Linked DNA regions of Cricetulus griseus. The protein of the gene in region 5 purifies or fractionates together with the protein of the main gene of each other region. This does not show direct contact. Links are inferred from orthologs where the notes say so. Each region holds a gene or a part of one and is shown on either strand. Other genes may lie near its edges. The genes, in order: Phf10, Arid2, Dpf2, Pbrm1 and Bcl7a.

Region 1 (4,206 bases), on a different chromosome or scaffold from region 5:
GGTATTAAAAGCAGGGATTAGGAATGCCAATGTTCACATTAATTACCCCAGCCTACAGATGAATAAACAAAGTGGGATATTGTTCAGACTGAAGGAAATTTTGACATGAACTCCATCACAGATGAACCCTGTAGACATTATGCTAACGGATAAGTCAGATACCACAGGGCAAGTACTGTAGGGTTCACACTCAGGGGCAGGGAGCAGAATTGTAGTGGCCAGCAGCTAGAGGCAGGAGGGATAGAAGGTACTGGAGGGTTATGCCGTTTGAGTTACTGAAGTTTTGGAAAGGGATGATAGTGATAGTTGCACAACACTGTGAATGCAATTAACACCACTTAACTGTACACTTGAAAGTGCTACAACAGTGAGTCTTACATACCTAATTTACCATAACTTCTTAACAGCTCAGGAACAAGACCTACTTAGGTATTATATTATATGGCTTTTTTTTTCTTCTTAGAATGTGTTTTTGTTTATTTTTTGCTTTGTGTGAATGTGTGTGTACACACATCTGTGGAGGGCAGAATGGGACATCAGACCCTCTAGAGCTCACAGGCCAATGTGAGCAGCCATGTAGGTACCAGTAACCAAACTCAGGTCCTCTGAAAGGGCATCCAGCACTCTTAACTGCTGAACCATCTCTCCAGCCCATAAATATAATTTTTAATAACTGCTCCTGATGCCTAGGGAAGAAGAGGCCAAATGGTCTACAAAAGCTACTACTGACCCTTCAAGTAGTAGTACCTGAGATCCTGACTTGAAGTCTCGCAGCTTCTCGAGCTGTCCCCTGAGCCCATTCGCCTCCTTTTAGATGGATGGGTCCCATCATTTGAGTTATCTTCATTATCATCCTGTACATTTAAATGATTGAAAAATAATAATAGAAAATAAAAGAATGATTTAAAGAAAAACACAACAACAAAGAATGATTGTGTATCTTTGCAGTTTGCCTAAGACTCCACAAGAGAAAGCATATTTCTAACTAATGTATTTAGAAAACTAATTTCCTACAATAATTGTCAGGGCAAAGAATTTGTTACAAGCAAGAAGCAGAATAAAACTAAAAATGGACCTTCAATTCAAACAAAATAAAAATTTCAGCTATGATTTTTAAAATATATTCTACCTTCCCTTTCTTAGCAACTGGGTGGGTAGAAGCCACTCTAAAATTAAAGCAGGACTTCCTATTTGAACTGGGAAAAAAAAAATCAATAAATGTTATAGGATCCTCCAACTTACAACTGGCCCACAAGAGTGTAATTCTAATTAGCTACTGTGGAGACAAGGACTGAACACAGGTTGGCAAATCTAAGCACATTTTCTTTGTTACACTGCAGAAAAGAAACTCAGCTCATCCAGGATATATATGTTGTTCAGCTATTCCATTAATGAAACGAGTAATCAAATGCTTTTAAAACACTTTATTAACATATTACTTGAGTCATTTTTTTAAAGAAAAAAAAAATCTCTTTAATGATAGCATGCCTCTGTCTCTGGCTGATGCTCAAAGAGGAGCCAGCCCAGAACAAATATTCCACACATGCTATCATCCTTGTGTGTTTTAGGCTCAGGCTCCAGATTACATTTTGAGCAATGTAAATGGGACAGACGACTGCAAGTCTAGCCACTTAAAAGTCATATTTTTTGTAAATCAAGGTAATGTAGCTCCTAACACTACCACTCTTACTATGTATTAGAATAAAAAACCTTCTAAAGAGAATGAAGAGGCACACAGTGGGCTGCCTGGAGTCTCACAGGGAACTGCCCTCCCTCCCTCCACCAGCCCTGTGTTAAAGCCCCTCTGCCTCTGAAGTCAGGTGGCTGATGCAAGGATTAAGTAAGGGAATAAACAGACTTCACTAACAGCAGGGACTAGCATGTAACTGTTTGATACCTATTAACGTTAAGATAAGGGGTAGGATTTTACATTTCGACTCTAGCACCTAGGAACTTACTAAAATTATTTTCCAAATAGAAAAACATACATATTCTCCTTTTCACTCATCAAAAATGAAGCTAATTACACAGACTGAAAACTCCCTGTAACACTAACAATCGGGGATAAGTTGGGAAAAGACTATTTTCCTTAAAATTCATCCTTTTTATAGTACTCGGATTCCATACTTTGGACAGTTCATTTTGAACACTGAAAGTACCTATTTTCTGTGTAAACATTTTAACGACCTTCTTTTTTTTTTTTTTTTGATGTCTACAACTTCCTTCAGTTAAAAACAATAATTCACTTGAAAAGAAACAGAAACGGAAGTTGACACCAAGAAGTTTAGGAGCAAGAGGTGGGAAGCCCGAGGTCTGCTTTCGTTACGGGCCCTCTCGGCTGCCCGGTCCTCGGGGCGAGCCCCGCGCGGTCCGAGACTGAGGCCGGCCGGGCTACCGGCGAGAGGAGCACCGAGCAGGAGGACCGGGGCACGCGGCCGGCTGGGGTCCCCGGGGCAGGTCCCGCCGAGCGGCGTCCTGACTGCGATCCCCGAAGGCCGCAACTTTTCCGAGCTCCCCAGCTGCGGGGGAGCCTGCGAGCCTCGGTCCGCGACCCTCGTCGGCCGCACTTGTTGCTCCCCGACCTGCCGCCCGCTCCCCGCGGTGCTCCGCTCCCCGCCCAGGCCCGGCCCGGCTTCGCCGCCGCCGTTGGGCAGCGCGGTCTGCTCGCTCACCTTCGGGGACTGCGCTCCGGGGGAGGCCGGGTCGCTGTCGCACCGCCGCGGGGACAGCGCCGCCCCGGGCCCGGCCGCTGCCATCAGCCCCAGCGCCCCGCGCCCGCCGCCGCCGCCGCCGCGCCGCCGCCGCCTGCGCCGCCGCCGCCCGCCGCCGGCCGCCCGCGCCCGGCCCCGCCCCTCCGCCCGCCCGCCCGGGGCCGCCCCTGCCGCCGCGCGCCCCGCGGCCCGCCAGCGCCACCGCCATAGCCGCAGCGCGCCGCCGCCCGCTCGCCCGCCCGTCCGCTCGCCCGCACGCCGCTCACGTCAGCCGCCGCAGCTGCGCCGCTCCGCCGGCCTCTGCCGGGACCCGCCGGCTTGCAGCGCCGCGCCGCGCCCGGCCTGAGCCCCGCAGCCCGACCGCCCGCCGCCGACGACCCGGCCCCAGCCTCGCCCGGCTTCCCGGCCGCCTGGCGAGCTCGCCGCCGCCGCCGCCGCGCCGCCGCCCCTTCCCTGCGCCCCCAGCCCGCCCGGCCCTCCGCGTCGTCAGCCGCGGCTCCGCCCGCCCCGCCCGCCGCCCGCCCCCTCCCCTCCTCCGCCGCGCGTCAGCCGGGGGTCCCCAGCCCGCCGGAGGCCTTCCCCTACCCCACCTGGATCCGCGGCTCCTCCCCTTCGAAAGGAGCCCCCGCCACACGGTGTCCTCCCTCCCCCCTCCCCAACACTCACACACACCCCATGTCCCCAGACCCACCCCTCAGCCGGGGGTCCCCATACACGCCGGGCCCTTCCCTTCTCCCCCAGGTCTCCCCACTCCCTCCCTCATCTTTCCTGCAGTGTTCTTTCCCCACCCTGTGTCCTTGCCCCTCTTCACCCCACCGTTCCATCTTCACTCTGCACATCCCGGGGTCCCCAAGGCACCCTCAGCGCCTTTGTCTCGCTTCTGCCTCTGCTGCGACCTTGGGAAGGTGGCCCTCTGGACCACGTGCGAAGAGTCAGAGCAGCTTTAGCCAAGCAGGACCCAGACAGTCCGAGAGAATGTGGAGGGGGAGGGTCCCCAAGACCATATGACTGGCAGAGCCCCTGAGCACCTGCAGGACACAGGATCCGGGGGCCCTGGAAATGGGAGCCATGGTATTTGGACAGGATATTAGCTCTTGGACTAAGCCATGAAATCTGGGATGTTTCTAGAGAATTGACTATACCAGTGGGCCATAAAATGAAATTTCATCAATGGAGAGAGCTATAAGTAGTAAAAAGGGCCAAAAAAAAAAAATTAAATTGGGGTAGCTATAATAGAAAAGGACTGCATGAGAATAACTTCCTTAAAATAGAATTTAAAGGATGGAGAGGTAGTAAAGTGAACACAAGGACCTGTGTCCAATCCCCAGAACATTAAAAAAAAAAAAAAAAAAATTAGGCATGATGGTGGCACACTTGTAATCCAATGCTGGTGAGGTGAAAAAGTAGAAACAGGCTAAGCAACAAGTCTTGGGCCAATAAGAGATCCTGTTTTCTATGAAAGGGGAAGGTGTGTGTGCGCGGATGAGGAGTGCAG
Region 2 (2,275 bases), on a different chromosome or scaffold from region 5:
TTATTACAATTTTAGGAATGTCTTAACCCTTTTTTCCTACTGGTTTTGTTCTTTTTCTATGATATACTTATTTTATTTTCTGCATTTTTCCTACATCTGAGGATGTACACCACATGTGTGCACTGCCCACAGCAGTCAGAAGGTGTCAGACCATAGTACTGCAGTTACAGAAACCTGAGCCACCTGGTATGGATGCTGGAACCAAGCACGGGTCCTTGGCAGGAGCAGGCTCTTAACCACTGAGTCATCTCTCCAGCCCCTTTTCTGCTTTCTCTTCCCCAGGATTATTTTAATGAAAATAGTGAAGTTCTTGGGCCATTTATTGCTGTGTGACTTATTTCTCAGATGTTTAAAGTGAAAGCTTTCACAGTGAAGCCCAACTTGAAATAACTGTACAGTGAACATCATATAGCATTGAGTTAGTGTGCTTGCCTTAGTCTCCTCCCATCTGTTTAGTCTTCCATTCCCAGCTGACTCAGTACACAGCCCAAGGCTGTTTTCCCAAGTGATGCTCCCACTGTCTCTTTGTATTCATAGCCACATCAATACTGTGACCTTTGTGATAGAAATTTTCAATTTCATAAATGTTTTTGTTCCTTGCCAGCAATTTTCTGACTTGTGAAATTTCTAAAACCCTGAATGAAGATACAGAAATAGGCTGTGTAACTTTCTGTGAATACAAACCCTGCCATGCTGCAAAAAAGACAGTTGATTTCAGGGGCCCAGAAACTGGCCTTTGTTTACTCACCAGGAAATTGCACTAACTGATGGCTAGCTGGCTGCTCCTCTTTCTACAAAGCTGCATATGGGACACTAGCTGCATATGGGACTATATGATGTTTCTATTTTAGTTATAGAATCTGTGATAAGGAATCTTAACTATGATCCTGGAGACTAACAATCTGTTTTTGTTTTGTATTTTGTTTTGTTTTCTAGATTGTTAAAGAGACATGAAAACAACTTATCAGTACTAGCCATTAGTAACATGGAAGCTTCCTCCACCCTTGCCAAATGCCTTTATGAACTTAATTTTACAGTTCAGAGTAAAGAACAAGAAAAAGACTCGGAAATGCTGTAGTGAATCCTATACCACTTACACAGCGGGGACTCAAAGTCAGATACATTTCACATACTGTTACTGAAGAAAGCACCAAGTCTTAATGGAGCAGAGACCATAGAATGAATTATTTTGTGTCGTCCCATGATGCCGAGAGGAAGCTTTGTATTCTGATCTCTGAACGAATCCCTTTCTTTTCTGTTAAAAAAAAAAAATCTAAAAAGGAAAAAAAAAAAAACAAAAAAACAAAAAACAACAAACTACTGTGGGATTGTCAACCAGCTTATCTGCAGGATGTCTCGGGTCTGGCCAATCCTGGTGGAGACTGGTGTGATCAGAATTCAGTACCATCCACATTGGAATATACATGGAATAGTGTAAAACCTACGTGAGCAGATGAAATAGAAGCATTAAATATTTTTATCTATATCCAAAAAGGAGCACATTTTTATATTTACAAAACCATTTAAGCTGGTTTGAATAAAGACAAAGTTTGAGCACACCTACCCCCAGCTTCAGAGGGGCCACCGATATCTAGCTGTGGATTGTGTGTTTTGTTAGAGTCAGTAGCTTGGTTTTCTTACTTGAGCCAATATATTTTCACTTATTTATTATCATAAAAATTTACCAGTCTGAATAGATGTTGTAAATATTTGTGAATAGAATGAACACCCTTCATACCACTGCAGCCACTGGAAATACATTCTGTGGTGTCCTAGAAGCATTATTGGTAGGCTCTGACGTTTTCTAGACTTTCCTGTCAACTGTAAGTAATTGTGATATATTCTACGCAGTGGATGAATGTTCTTTAAATTTGTGTAAATACTTCTGCAAAGGTACTGATGCTGTAAAGTCAAAACAGTTTTGTGGAACTGTGATTTTTTTTTTCTTTTCTTTTTTGGTTTTCTTGGATTTTTTCCCCCTTTTGGGTTTTTTTGTATTATACACCTTGTAGGACTCATTTTGCTGGCTGAAAGAGTATGGAATAATATATCTCATGTCATTTTTGTAGAAGACAAACTATTTGAAGGGTTTTTTCTTTTTTTTTTTTCTTTTCTTTTTTGTTTCCCCTAACATGTATCCACTGTAAGCGTTTGTCATGTGCAAGCTCAAAGCTTGTACAAAATTTTTGTATTTGTAAATTGGTTTAAATACATGGAATTTTATACAGGTTTTCTCCTGTGTTATATATGCATTATGTGCAGGTATGATATTTTC
Region 3 (3,514 bases), on a different chromosome or scaffold from region 5:
TTTTTTTAAATTTCATTTTACATTCCAACCAAAGTTCTTCCTCCCCTCCCTCCTCCTGCTCCCCTCGCCTCCCCTCCCAGCCCACTCCCCACCCCCAACAGGTAAGGGCTCTCATTTGGACTCAACATAGTTTGGTACATTAAGTTGGGGCAGAATCAAGCTCCTCCCCAAAGAGGGTTTTTATAACCAGGCTGGCTCCTCTCCTGTTTGCTCATCCTGACACCTCAGCTTACATTTCTGCTCCTCAGACCTCTGGGAAACAGGAGTAGGTGGTTGAGAGTCTTCTTTGTCCTCTCCCTCCTCCTCAGCCAGGTGGGAATGGGCATAGTGGTAACTGAGGCCAGGTCGATTCTTGTAGCGTTTTCCACAAACTGGGTGGAAGAAGATTGCAGAGAAATGTTAGGACACGAAGGTGCTACTCACCCAGTCTGACAAGCTGTAAAGCATCATGGAAAATACTTATGTCCCCAGCATTTCTAATCTGGGACAAACCTTAGTGATGGCCCCTGTCCCTTATCCAAGAACATCAGGCCCTGGATCTCTTCAGTTTCTAGGATTCTCTCCCCTCTCTAAAACCCAACCCCACACCTACTAACATTTTTCTACATTGGCTTTTGGAAGGACTCAGCCCAGGATGCAACAACTAGCCCTGGGAATAGCAACTGTCTGGGAGTTCCAGGTCAGGAAAGTTCTATGGTCTTGCCTTATGGCAAAGGGGGAAAGGTAATACGGAGACGTCAGACTTTTTCTGCTATGTAAATGTGGCATGCTCATTCCACCCCATGTATACCACGCAGCCAATCCCAATTGAATAGGCAAAGGGCAAAGGGTGGGTTTCTTAGGGAACACCTATCAACTGAGCAGCCAGAATAACTGTTCCCAAAGAATTTGAGGTACATTCCCATACTAGAGTCCTGCCCAGCCCCTGCCAACAAGCAAGGAAAGATGGCATCTTGAGTGATGACACCAAGAGGGGCAAGGGGGCCAGCAGGAAGGAATTGTGAGGAGGATGGTAGTGGGTGGTGGCATGATAGTGGGAATATTAGCTGACCACCTGATGTCTTTTTTGGGGAGCATCAGATGAATCTATTCATAATGGGTTCCTGTTAAGACTTTGAAGCTATCCCACATACTAGGCCAAGTAAGACTATGGGAGACAAGCAACGGTAAAGACAGCTGCTAGGACTCTGAGAGTGGAGCACAATTGGGGCTCCACAGCACTACCACCATACCATTGCAGAGATTCCAAAGCTAGCATCACAGGAAATGAGAAAGGCAGGAGGAACAAGGGAAGAGGGAAAAGGGACAGGAAAACCACAAGTCTGAAAAGTTGAGAGAGCTACCTCTCTGGGGCGCTTTCGAGGTATGCTTTTGTTTGAAACTATCTGAAAGACAGAAAGAAAAGTCATGAGAAGAAGGCCTTGGTACATTTGAGACAGGGCAGCAACAGCAGGAAAACAAGAGCAAGTGAGAGAGAACCCCAGCAGCGGTGCTACAGGCTGGAGGCACGGAAGTAGGGTGAGCCAAAGCAAAGGGAAAGAGGACAGACACTGACCCTCAGGGCTGGCCCCCTGTGCCCTGCCTTAATGGGTCAGCAGGTCTGGGTGCTGCCCACGATGAGGCCAACCCTGCCTCTGTTGAGTTCTCTCATCCTCCCACCCCAGGAACCACAGAAATCTCTCCCACAGCATGCAGGTCCCACCCACTATGAAGCAAAGGCCAGGGCTTCTCAGAGGTGGGCAGGTAGAATAAGAACCCAGGCTTATTTTTACCACTCAGTGCAAGAACATGATCCCCTTACTCTAACATCCAGAGCAGGAGCGGGGTCCAAGACAAGAACTACCCACCCCTTAGGGGGCACTCACTGTCACAGGCATAGGGCTTATCACGGTCCTCCAGGATGGAAGCATCCAGTTTCTTCCGGGCACTGCTCACACCCTTACTCTGCCAAGAACAGCAAAAAGATGATGCCATTACTAAGGTGTCTATGCCAGAAGAGCAAGGCAACTACAAGAAATAAAGCCTGGCCTTCCTGGACCAGCCTGCTACATCCTTCAGGAAGCATACTGGCTCCTTACCTTGGATTTCCCCTTTCCCCGACGTTTTGGAGTATCTTCTTCATAGTCTTCATCATCAAGATCATCTAGGAAGTCATCAGGTTCAAGGATCCGCTGAGTGGACCAGAAGATTTGAATGAGCACAAGTCAAGCACATCCAAAAGCTCCCTCACGATGTAGAATTAGCCACATGGAATTACCCAGAAGCTTCTCTGGGGGTTATCCCTACCTATAATCATTCTTCACCCTACAATCCCATTTCTGCTTCCTTTCCTCTGAGCTTCTTCAAGTTGCTTTCCCCCATCTCTCTGTTTCCATAAAGCTTTCCCTAGTATCCCAGGCAGCCATGCCCAGTCCTGCTCGTTCTGCTTCCAAAACTCATGTCCTAGTTTAAATGAGTTTTGCTGCTTACTTGTGTGACCTTGAGGGAAGTTCTAACTACTTTGCTTCTGCCTCCCTGTCAGTGAAATGGGAACCACAGGACCTACCTCATAAGGTTGTACAGGAGGAAGCATATGGAAAAACACTTAGCACAGTACCTGGCTTATCTGTAGCTCTTCTCATCTTTAAACTTAGCATTAACTTTCCAGTTGATAGGTGTAAACCAGGTGTGCTTCACCTATGTAACACCAGGCACCTAAAGTTTCTAACAAAATCCTTGTGTGAAAGAGAACGAATGAGTTAGCCTGTACTGAGAAGACAGCAAGGAGTGTGAAAGATGGGACAGCAGCAGAGCCGGTGGCCAGTAGAGCCACAGGATTGCAGGGCAGCCTCAGCTTCTGTTTTGGCTGTTTTTCTTTTTTGTGCTAAGGCTCACACACCAATCTTGGTCAGTTCTGCTAACTGGGTGCACCCTTCCCATCCATAAGGAAGAGGCTGGTCCTTATTAAAGTCCTCTAGCCATAGGGATAACATACCTTCCGTGCTCGACTGTTGGTGACAGGAAACTCGCCCAGGCTGTCATCATCAACACGGGGATCTGGAGCACCTCGTTTCTCCAGAGGGTCAGTACGCAGTAGAGCCTCTAAACTGCTGCCATCCTGAGATATAAGCCCCTCTTTCTTCAGGGTCTGGTCTGTGTCTGGAAAGAATCAGAATAAAGCAAACTCAGAAGGGCTGAAGATGAGCCTACGACATCTGGGGCCAAGTCAAAGTCAGCCACTAACTTCTGTTCTACAGGAACCAAGATATCTTGGTTCAGCCAGCACTGGAATATAGCTATTTACCTGTTTCCCTAACACAGTGAGTTCTTTGAAGGATGTTATCATACCTCATTTAATTTAGTATGTGCAAGAGCTAACACAGAGCCTGGGAATAGCAGGTGATAAGCAAGCTTCTTGCCATGTAATAGACCATGGCCCTGCTTAGGAAGTGGGCACCTTACTTGGATTATTTATTTACTCATGATTATTGTGCATATGTGTGTTGTATACATCTGTGTGGTGTATGAATACGTG
Region 4 (4,187 bases), on a different chromosome or scaffold from region 5:
GTTCACTGGAAGCGTCCACAGGCATTGTAAGACTCTTGGATTTTTTACTGTAAATAAGGCCATCCTAACATCTAGAAGCAAACTCTAGAATTTTTTATTTTCTGCTTATAAATAAATAATGAAGTGATGCTTAGAGACTGTTTTTAAATAACACAAACTTTTGCTTTAAACATCTCACACATTTTCAGTACATTTATTTTGTTTCCAGCACTTTTATAGGATGGGGCTACAAAAATAAAGAGGACTCAGTTCTTGTGCCTAGGAAACTCAAGAAATTTCAAAGTATTTAATCTATGTCTTTTCTTCACTGTCAAAGGGTGTAGGTGCGCTTTACTGTTTTCTTTTTTTGTTTGTTTTGTTTTGAGATGACCTTGAACTTCTTATGCTTCTGCTTCCTCAGTGCTTGTATTACATGTGTACTCCACCATGCCCAATTCCATGTGGTGCTGGGGATTGAACATTGGGCCTCCCACCTGCTAAGCAACCGCTCTTCCGACTTAGCTATTTACCCGGTCCTTGTTTTTATTTAAAGATGAAGAAATAGATCTGAGAAGTTGTGATTTGGATAGTATCAAACTGTTAGAGGTGGAAGGTCTGGGACTCTTGAATGCAGATCCATTATTTCTTCCACACTGCATGTATACTTTGAATAAGAAATGTATACTTTGAATAAGAAAATTTGAAAACCATCCTTCCCATGCATCTTTTTCTTGTCTTTTGAAAGTGCATTAATGATTTAAGGATTTTGGCTATTATATCATCTAAAACTACAACATACTAAGTATTAATAATTTACATTTTTTGTCATTTGCTTTCCAGTGCATTATAAAAAGCAGTAATTTTGAACTAAAGTAATTGAAGACTTTGTAAAGCCCTGATAAACTTAAATGTTGTGTCTTTCCAGTGCAGATAGAACTTTTGGAAAGAAATGTTTTTCTCTGACTCTTGGGGGGAGGGAGGAAGAATTTGTAGAGTTTGCTCTCATGAGCCATTCTTGGTCTATTCCAGCTTGCCAACACTTGGGGTCACATGTGAGCCTCCCACATGTGTTCACTCTCCATCCCAGCTCTGTGATTGAACTCTGCTCTTATTGACTAGGGGGCACTTGGGCAGGCATGCTTCATTCCTGGAATTGACAGTCATTTCATGTGAGTAAAGGTGAAACTCAGTGAGACATTTCTAAGCATGTGAAAGCATTTGGTTTTTAAATGGAAGAAACTTGTCAGGTGCACCTGGGAACTGATATGTCTGTTTCTTTTTCTTTAGCAACTCTATTCGAATGTTACGTTTTCTGTCTGTTTGTACTCATTTATACTCTTATTTCCCCTTTCTCTGCCTTGTTCTTCTCTTTCAGTTCTGAATAAACTAACTGAATAAGCACTTAATAAAACCCTACCTTCTCTCACTGGCTTCATTTGGCCTTCAGACATAATGAGGAGATTGGCTTTTCGAGGCGCTGGTTGTGCTCTGGTAAAGCTGGTAAATTACTGATCATCTTCACCCTTTTCTCTTTCTGTCATTCTCTCCCTCTCCCTTCCAACCTTCTGAAGTTTTGTAATTCTTCCTATCTGAATCCCTCCTGTGTTTATCAGTGTTTCCAAGGATTAGTGCTTAATTTCATTAACTTGTGGAGTTGTGGCCAGGTGTCAGTCTTTTATAAAGTAAACAACAACAGAACCTGGGTATTTGGGGCCCAACTTTGTAAAAACTTTTAACCACTTTTAGTCAATTTCAAACTAATATTCTTGGTAACAAACCAAAGCCTACAGGATGGAACATGATCACTGTAGATTGTTTTAAACAGTATGTGGACTTTAGCTCAAAGCAACAGATAGGAGACCCTTTTGTTTTTTAATTGCTTAAGGGAGTTTTTTGTTTTGTTTTGTTCTTACTTTCTGTTTCCTGGAGGTCCCCAATTTTTCTCTCTGTAGTACTGGCACCCAGTGCTCTACTATTCTTTTTTGTTTAGCTGCTAGTGTCTGAATTTCCTGAAATCAAATGTTGAGTGAAACTGGGTCTGCTGTAACTTTTAGCTTTAGAAAAGTTCTTTGTAATTACAGTGCACCATTTGCTACTGCTGTTAAAGTATATAACCATTGTAGGACTTCCTGGGTCTATACCCTTTAACTGTAGTAAGTTATTCCAGTGGTTGCATTTCTTACATTATAGCCAAATGTGTATATTGTAAAGTTATGTTAAGAATAGTTTCTTTTCTTTTTTTATTTGAGACACTATGTAGCCCTAGCTGGCCTACAACTCAATATCCAAGGCTGGCCTTGAGCTCACAGAGATCTGTCGGCTTCTACCTTGCTTCTCAAGTGCTGGGATTAAAGGCATGCACCACCATGCCCAGCAAAGAATAGCGTCTTATGAGGGCTAGGGAGATATCTTAGTGGGTAAAGTACAAACGTGAGGACCTGCATTTAGATCCCTAGCACATACCTAAAAGTCATGTGTGGTGGTAGTGTCCATAGCCCCTCACTGGAGGGGCAGAGACAGGTAGGTCTCAGGCACTCACTGATCAGGCATTCTCCAAGTTTAATGAACAGCACTTTTTCAAAGAAAAATGGACAGTGTTAAAGGAAGACATCTGATATTAACCTATGGTGAGTGCACACACACCCATTTCTCATTTTTTCTGGATTAGAGATGGCTTTCTTATCATGTGTGAGGCCTACATTAAGTCCCTAGTACTGCAAAGAACAGTAAGAAATACCAAAAGCCAGCTAACAAAAACCATTGTCAGCCTAAAGCCAAGAGCAAATGTTTATGTGCTTTCCAAATGTCCACACAGTAGCTAAGAGCCCATATATATAACATGTTCTTCTAGATCATCTAGTGAAGCTTAAAACTGTTTTCACAGTCTGTGAGTATAGTGTACATTGGGACAGAGCACAAATTGCTAGTTCTCTCCAGATATAGCAAAAATTACATTCACAGGGGTATTTTTTTCCTCCATTTTTAAATTTAAATTAGAAACAAGATTGTTTTACATGTCATACCCAGTTCCCTCTCCCTCCCCATCACAGGGGTATTTTTTATGAATTCTGCTTTAAGTGGAGAATTCATTTCTAGGATACTTGTACAGTGCTGGAAAGTTTACTGCTTCACCCCCTTTTGCATCACCCCGTTTGACTGGCCTTAGGTACTGCTTCTTAGTTTTGTTTTCCACACTATGGCCCACTTAGGTAATGGGTATAATTATAAGAAATACAGGGGACTGGAGAGATGGCTCAGTGGTTAAGAATGCTGGCTGCTCTTCCTGAGGATCTAGGTTAATTTCCCAGCACCTTCTTGGCAGCTCACAACCAGTTGCACATCTGATGGCCTCTGGCATCAGGCACACATGTGATACACAGATACATAACACACATATACATCAAAAATAAAAAAAGGAAAATAAAAAAAAAGGAAGCCCCATTCCAGGAAATCTGGGGCAAAAAGTGGTTGAGTAATTTAGAATTATTGACATATAAATGTGTATACTTACGCCAAATTTGTCCTATCAGAGTTTGATAATGTAGCACTCTGATAATTAAAAGGCTAATTGCATTGAAGTCCAGGACTTAGCAAAAGAATGTAGAGCTAGTTAAATCCCTCTGGAATAAACTATCTTAAATGAACCAGAAGTTTCATGGTATATACCTAGCTGAGAGTTTGTTGACATTGTTGAAGATTAAACATAAGCACTTGGCTAATTGTTTCTTGTAGAAGAAGTTGGATTCCATGGGTTCCAAGAGAAGAAGAGCTACCTCCCCTTCCAGCAGTGTCAGTGGAGACTTTGACGATGGGCACCATTCTGTGCCTACACCAGGCCCAAGCAGGAAAAGGAGAAGACTGTCTAATCTTCCAACTGTGGATCCTGTGAGTAACTAAGGCTTCGTGGTTTCTGCCATTTCCCATGGTTTGCCTATACTTCCTTCTTTGAAGCAGTTGAGCTGCATAGCTTTCTTTTCCATTTGGTTTATTTCTCTTATGAAAAGTATACTTAGTCACAAGTCTTCTTTTTTAATTTTTTTTTTGTTTTATAGAAACAAGCTTCTTTTACATGTCAATCCCAGTTCCCTCTCCCTCCCTTCACTTCCCCCCTCCCAATCCCAACCCCTTCCAAGAGGGGGGTCTTCAAAGTCTGTCATATCATTAGGAGCAGGGCCTAGGCCCTCCCCCATGTGTCTAGGCTGAGAGAG
Region 5 (4,290 bases):
GCAGCTTACACCGGCCCCTTTCTACCCTCCAGGAGGGTGACAGACAGAAGTGACTCACGCCCTGATATCAGTTCTTTCTTTGCACCAGGACTGAGGCAGGGGAGGGGGGGCACCTCAGCCTTCCCTTGAGAGTCCCACAGGAGAGGGGGCACTGTGTTGTTTTCCTCTGTGTTTTGGCCTGCAGCTGTTTCTGCCATTTTTAAATGGCTCCAGTTGGGCACTGGGCGCCTTGCTCAGCAGGGGAGCTCCCGGCACCCAGGACTTGGATCTCAACTTTGGAAAGCCTCCCCTTCTCACGGTTGTGAAAATTCTTTGTCCCACTGGAGCCAAACCCAGCCCACGGCAGGCATCCGGCCATCCGAAGACAGCCCTTTCCATAGGAGGCCCGGGAGCACGTGGACTTTATTGATTTTTCTCCTTGCCTTTTTTTTGTTGGGTTTCACTCTGAAAGGACAGCTAACTTGTGACACCACCAGACCTGAGACAGGCCCCCGAGTAGTGTTTTTTTTTTTTTTTTAAAGGCAATAACAACAGCGGCGTTACTCAAGAAATGACACCCCCCAAAGAAACAGCCTGCAGCGGGGCCTGGCCAGTTCCTATAAAGGACGGGACCAGCCCACGGCCGCTGACACTTAGGGGCACCCTCGCGGCTGCTCGTCTCCCTCTCGGACCCTGATGAAGCCGTGAGAAAAAAAAAAAAAAAAAGACATAATAAAGTTGAAATTGGGGAGCAGGGAGTTTTCAACAAGTCTGACCCAACCTGGAGGTGGACTACTGGCGCCTCCGGCCTGGCCTCTAGGGCCTCCTGGGAGTCAGATCCCGACGAGGCCCGTGAAAATGTTCCATCCTGCTAATTATAACGAGGCCACGCCGGGCACGATCTAATTTGAGCTTGAAAAACACGCACGGCCCACACCGAATCTCGCGGTCCCCTCCTCCTCCCCCAGTGCAGAGAACAAAAACAACGGTCGCTCGCTCTCTCCGCAAAACAAACACCAGCTCCAGCTCGGAGAAGGCAGACACGGCCCAGGACTTGGCTTCTGGCAGCAAACATCGCGTCCCCCGAGCTCCGGGTGCCGCGCGGAGCGGGTGGGAGCCGCGGGTGCCCCGCTCGCCAGCCGCGCCACCGCCTTCCCAGCGCTCGCCCCCATCTTCCTTCCTCGCCCGGAGCCCTCGCTCCAGGCTGCCCAAAGCGCTAAATTTAAACGGCTCGCGCTCTGCAAACTCCGCAGACTCGAGGGCGCCGAGGCCCGGGAGGCGGGGAGCTGCGGGCGGGTCGGGTCGGGGCGTGGGGTGTGTGTGTGTATGTGTGTGTGTGTGTGTGTGTGTGTTTTGGGGGGACACCGGCGCCGCGCCGCCCCGGGAGGAGACGGCGGCCCGCTCCGCGCCGCACAATGGAGCTCGCGCTCTGCCCGCCGCCACCGCCGGCATCACGGCCCCGGCGCGCGGGAAGCCGCTTTCATGTGACTTGCACAAAAAAACGAAATGGCTTCTGGGGCCGGCCGCGAACCCCCCTCTCCCGAGCTCCGAGCTCCGGGTTGCAGCCGCCGTCGCCTTCGCCGCCGCTGCCGCTGTCGCCGCCGCCGCCGCCGCCGCCGCCAGGTGGGCGACCCCGCGCCAAGCACACCTGGGCAGCGGACGCAGCCCCCGCGGGGCGCAGGTGACCCGGGCCGCGCGTCCTCGCCAACTCCGGGCCCGGGGCCGCTGCGCCCCGCGGTTCCGTGAGCTGGGTCCGGGCTAGCCAGCGGCCGTGGCGCGGTGCAGCGAGCCGGGGCGAGCGAGAGAGCGAGCAGGCGCCTCGGCTTACCATTTGCGCACTTTCTCGATAGCCGCCATGACCCTCTTGATATCATCTTTGGCCCGGCTCCTGGTCTCGGCTCGAACCGACCTGCCCGACATGGTTCTGGCGGGGAGGGAGAGAGAGAGGAGAGAGAGAGAGGCTGGGGGAGCGCGCCCGCCGGGTCCTGCTCGCCACACTCGCCCGCTCTCTCACTCGCGCACAGACACACACTCACACACATACGCGCACACACAAAGCCTGGTGCCGCCGCGCGCCCGGGGCCCAGTGCGCAAGCGCCGGGCGGCAGCTGCACAGAGCGAGGGGGAGCGGCGCGGCCGCCACTAGTGCGGCCTCCGGGCGCCGCCGCCCTCCCCGGGGAGCCTCGGGGACCTCACCCAGGGAAACGATCAGGGATGACCGCGACCTCCCAGCACGCGGGACTGGCCCGCGCGCCGACTCCCCCGGAGGCCGCGGATGTGGTGGGAACCCCTCCCCCCAAGACACACACCCTGGGGATGGCAGACAGGAGGCCGTGGGTGCCCTGGCCTTGGGTTGGTGGCCTCGGGTGCGATCGTGCAAGTTACTTGTCGGGCGCTTGACTTCTCAGAGTTGGAGGCGGTGGTTCCGGACTCGTGATCTTGGAAAGAGTTGAGGTGCCGGTTTCTGGCCAGCTAGCTGCCTTGTTGAAATGTGCGAGCTAGGACGTCTGCCTCACCATGATCAAACTAGGGTCGCAGTTTAAGGTGCCAGAGGCCGGTGGCTGTAGGCATTGTCGCAAGGCTTCCTTTTCCTTGGAGATAAATTGTCCCAGTCGGGGATAAAGCTCGCTGGCGTAGGTCACAGGACCACAAATTAATCTTAAACGGCTCCTGGTGGAAGCGCAGTTTACTGACCGGGAGCAGCTGGTAAACTGGACTGGTCCAACTCAGAAAGACTTTTGAGGGGCTGTTCCCGATCCCAGGACAGAACTAGGTGGCAGAATCTACTGCGGTCAATTAGGATAGGGACAGATAGGTAGGCAGCTGAGGCTAAACCGACTGGACCAGAGCAAATGCTTGCCCAGGTGGATGCTGGGAAAAGAGATGACCTAATGTGAGCAAACCAGTGCCTGGAGAAGAACTAGCCCAACTCAAGTCATTTCACAGGTGGGGAAACTGAGGAAAGGAGTTATTCCAGGTTGCAGCCATGAACTTCTTCTGTGACGGCATTGATTGTGTTACCCCCTAAAGTTTGGGGACGGTGCTGGGGTCTGGTAGAGAGAGCTAGCGGAGAATGAGAACAAAATGTATGGGCTTTCCCCCCAAGCACATCATTTTACCATTTCAATCACATGGCCCTAATGTGAAAAATAAAAATAAGAACAGTAGTCCGGCATGGTGGCCTACTCCTTTAATCCCAGCACTTGGGAGGCAGAAGCTGGCAGATCTCCGTGAGTTCAAGGCCAGCCTGGCTTATGTAAGGAATTCCAGGCTAGCCAGGACTAAATAGTGAGACCCTGTCTCTAAATAAATAAATAAATAAATAAATAAATAAATAAATAAAATCAAACACCCAGGTTGTGGTGGTGCACCCCTTTAATCCCAGCACTCAAGGCACAGGCAGGTGGGCCTCTGTGAGTTTGAGGCCATCTGGGCCTATAGAGTGAGATCTAGAATAGAGAAACCCTGTCTTGAAAAGCAAAATAAACAAAAAACTAAAACAATTATGTTAGAGAACCATTCTGAGTGCTGGATTGGAAAATATGCCATAAATCAGAAGTCTCATAATTTTGACCCTCAGTTCAATTCCCTGCTTGGGCCTGAGGGAATTAGTTTTTGTTTAGTGCTAGACAAGTGCTGTTCCATAGTTCCCACATAGAATGTGTGTGTGTACATGTGTATGTACATGTATGTATGTATGTATATACTTTAAAAATAAGACATAAACAAATCCACACATCAGGTCAGCAAGACAGCTTAGTAAATGCACTTGTAGCCAGGTGATGGTGGCACACACTTTTAACCCCAGCATTTGGGAGGCAGATGAAGGCAGATCTCTGTGAGTTTGAGGCCAGCCTAGTCTACAGAAGGAGTTCCAGGACATGCTCCAAAGCATGTTACACAGAGAAATCCTGTCTCAAACAAACTATATACATATATACATACATACATTTGCAGTCAAGCCTGAAGACAAGAGTTCAATTCCCAGAACCCACATTGTGGAAAGAGAGAACTGACTCCTGAAAGTTGTTCTGATTGCCACATGTTTACACACACACACACAAAAAAAAACCAAACAAACAAAAAAAAACCAAAAACTGAAATGTAAAAAAAAAATTAAATACAAATACCAATTGATGAATGGATGTCTTTATACACAGTGGGATTATGTAGCCATGAATAATAAAAGGAATACCCACACTGCTAAACATGCTTGAAAGTATGCTAATGGGAAGGTATGGGTATACAAGGTAGACGATTGTATGACCCCACTTACATGAGCTATCTAGACTAGGCAGGGGCTGAGGGGAG

Evidence for each region.
Region 1: the proteins of Bcl7a (region 5) and Phf10 purify together in Homo sapiens (affinity purification with mass spectrometry; 3 studies listed by BioGRID and IntAct, counting the BioPlex papers as one, with this or other methods). This does not show direct contact. The link is inferred for Cricetulus griseus from reciprocal best matches to the Homo sapiens genes BCL7A and PHF10.
Region 2: the proteins of Bcl7a (region 5) and Arid2 purify together in Homo sapiens (affinity purification with mass spectrometry; 3 studies listed by BioGRID and IntAct, counting the BioPlex papers as one, with this or other methods). This does not show direct contact. The link is inferred for Cricetulus griseus from reciprocal best matches to the Homo sapiens genes BCL7A and ARID2.
Region 3: the proteins of Bcl7a (region 5) and Dpf2 purify together in Homo sapiens (affinity purification with mass spectrometry; 3 studies listed by BioGRID and IntAct, counting the BioPlex papers as one, with this or other methods). This does not show direct contact. The link is inferred for Cricetulus griseus from reciprocal best matches to the Homo sapiens genes BCL7A and DPF2.
Region 4: the proteins of Bcl7a (region 5) and Pbrm1 purify together in Homo sapiens (affinity purification with mass spectrometry; 3 studies listed by BioGRID and IntAct, counting the BioPlex papers as one, with this or other methods). This does not show direct contact. The link is inferred for Cricetulus griseus from reciprocal best matches to the Homo sapiens genes BCL7A and PBRM1.

Annotation. Positions count from the first base shown.
Region 1 is NC_048595.1:294,005,799-294,010,004, forward strand, and holds the start of Phf10 (PHD finger protein 10), read right to left. Parts: upstream 2,804-4,206; 5' UTR 2,757-2,803; coding exon 2,673-2,756; intron 855-2,672; coding exon 748-854; intron 1-747. UniProt on the Homo sapiens protein: Involved in transcription activity regulation by chromatin remodeling. Belongs to the neural progenitors-specific chromatin remodeling complex (npBAF complex) and is required for the proliferation of neural progenitors.
Region 2 is NC_048595.1:392,839,598-392,841,872, forward strand, and holds part of Arid2 (AT-rich interactive domain-containing protein 2), read left to right. Parts: intron 1-936; coding exon 937-1,078; 3' UTR 1,079-2,275. UniProt on the Homo sapiens protein: Involved in transcriptional activation and repression of select genes by chromatin remodeling (alteration of DNA-nucleosome topology). Required for the stability of the SWI/SNF chromatin remodeling complex SWI/SNF-B (PBAF).
Region 3 is NC_048596.1:53,438,265-53,441,778, reverse strand, and holds part of Dpf2 (zinc finger protein ubi-d4), read right to left. Parts: intron 3,139-3,514; coding exon 2,975-3,138; intron 2,172-2,974; coding exon 2,079-2,171; intron 1,945-2,078; coding exon 1,866-1,944; intron 372-1,865; coding exon 234-371; intron 1-233. UniProt on the Homo sapiens protein: Plays an active role in transcriptional regulation by binding modified histones H3 and H4. Is a negative regulator of myeloid differentiation of hematopoietic progenitor cells. Might also have a role in the development and maturation of lymphoid cells.
Region 4 is NW_023276807.1:188,682,573-188,686,759, reverse strand, and holds the start of Pbrm1 (protein polybromo-1), read left to right. Parts: upstream 1-1,375; 5' UTR 1,376-2,603; coding exon 2,604-2,606; intron 2,607-3,711; coding exon 3,712-3,864; intron 3,865-4,187. UniProt on the Homo sapiens protein: Involved in transcriptional activation and repression of select genes by chromatin remodeling (alteration of DNA-nucleosome topology). Required for the stability of the SWI/SNF chromatin remodeling complex SWI/SNF-B (PBAF).
Region 5 is NC_048597.1:103,112,547-103,116,836, reverse strand, and holds the start of Bcl7a (B-cell CLL/lymphoma 7 protein family member A), read right to left. Parts: upstream 2,803-4,290; 5' UTR 2,289-2,802; intron 2,262-2,288; exon of another isoform or gene 2,176-2,261; intron 2,062-2,175; exon of another isoform or gene 2,024-2,061; intron 2,018-2,023; exon of another isoform or gene 1,904-2,017; 5' UTR 1,900-1,903; coding exon 1,808-1,899; intron 1-1,807.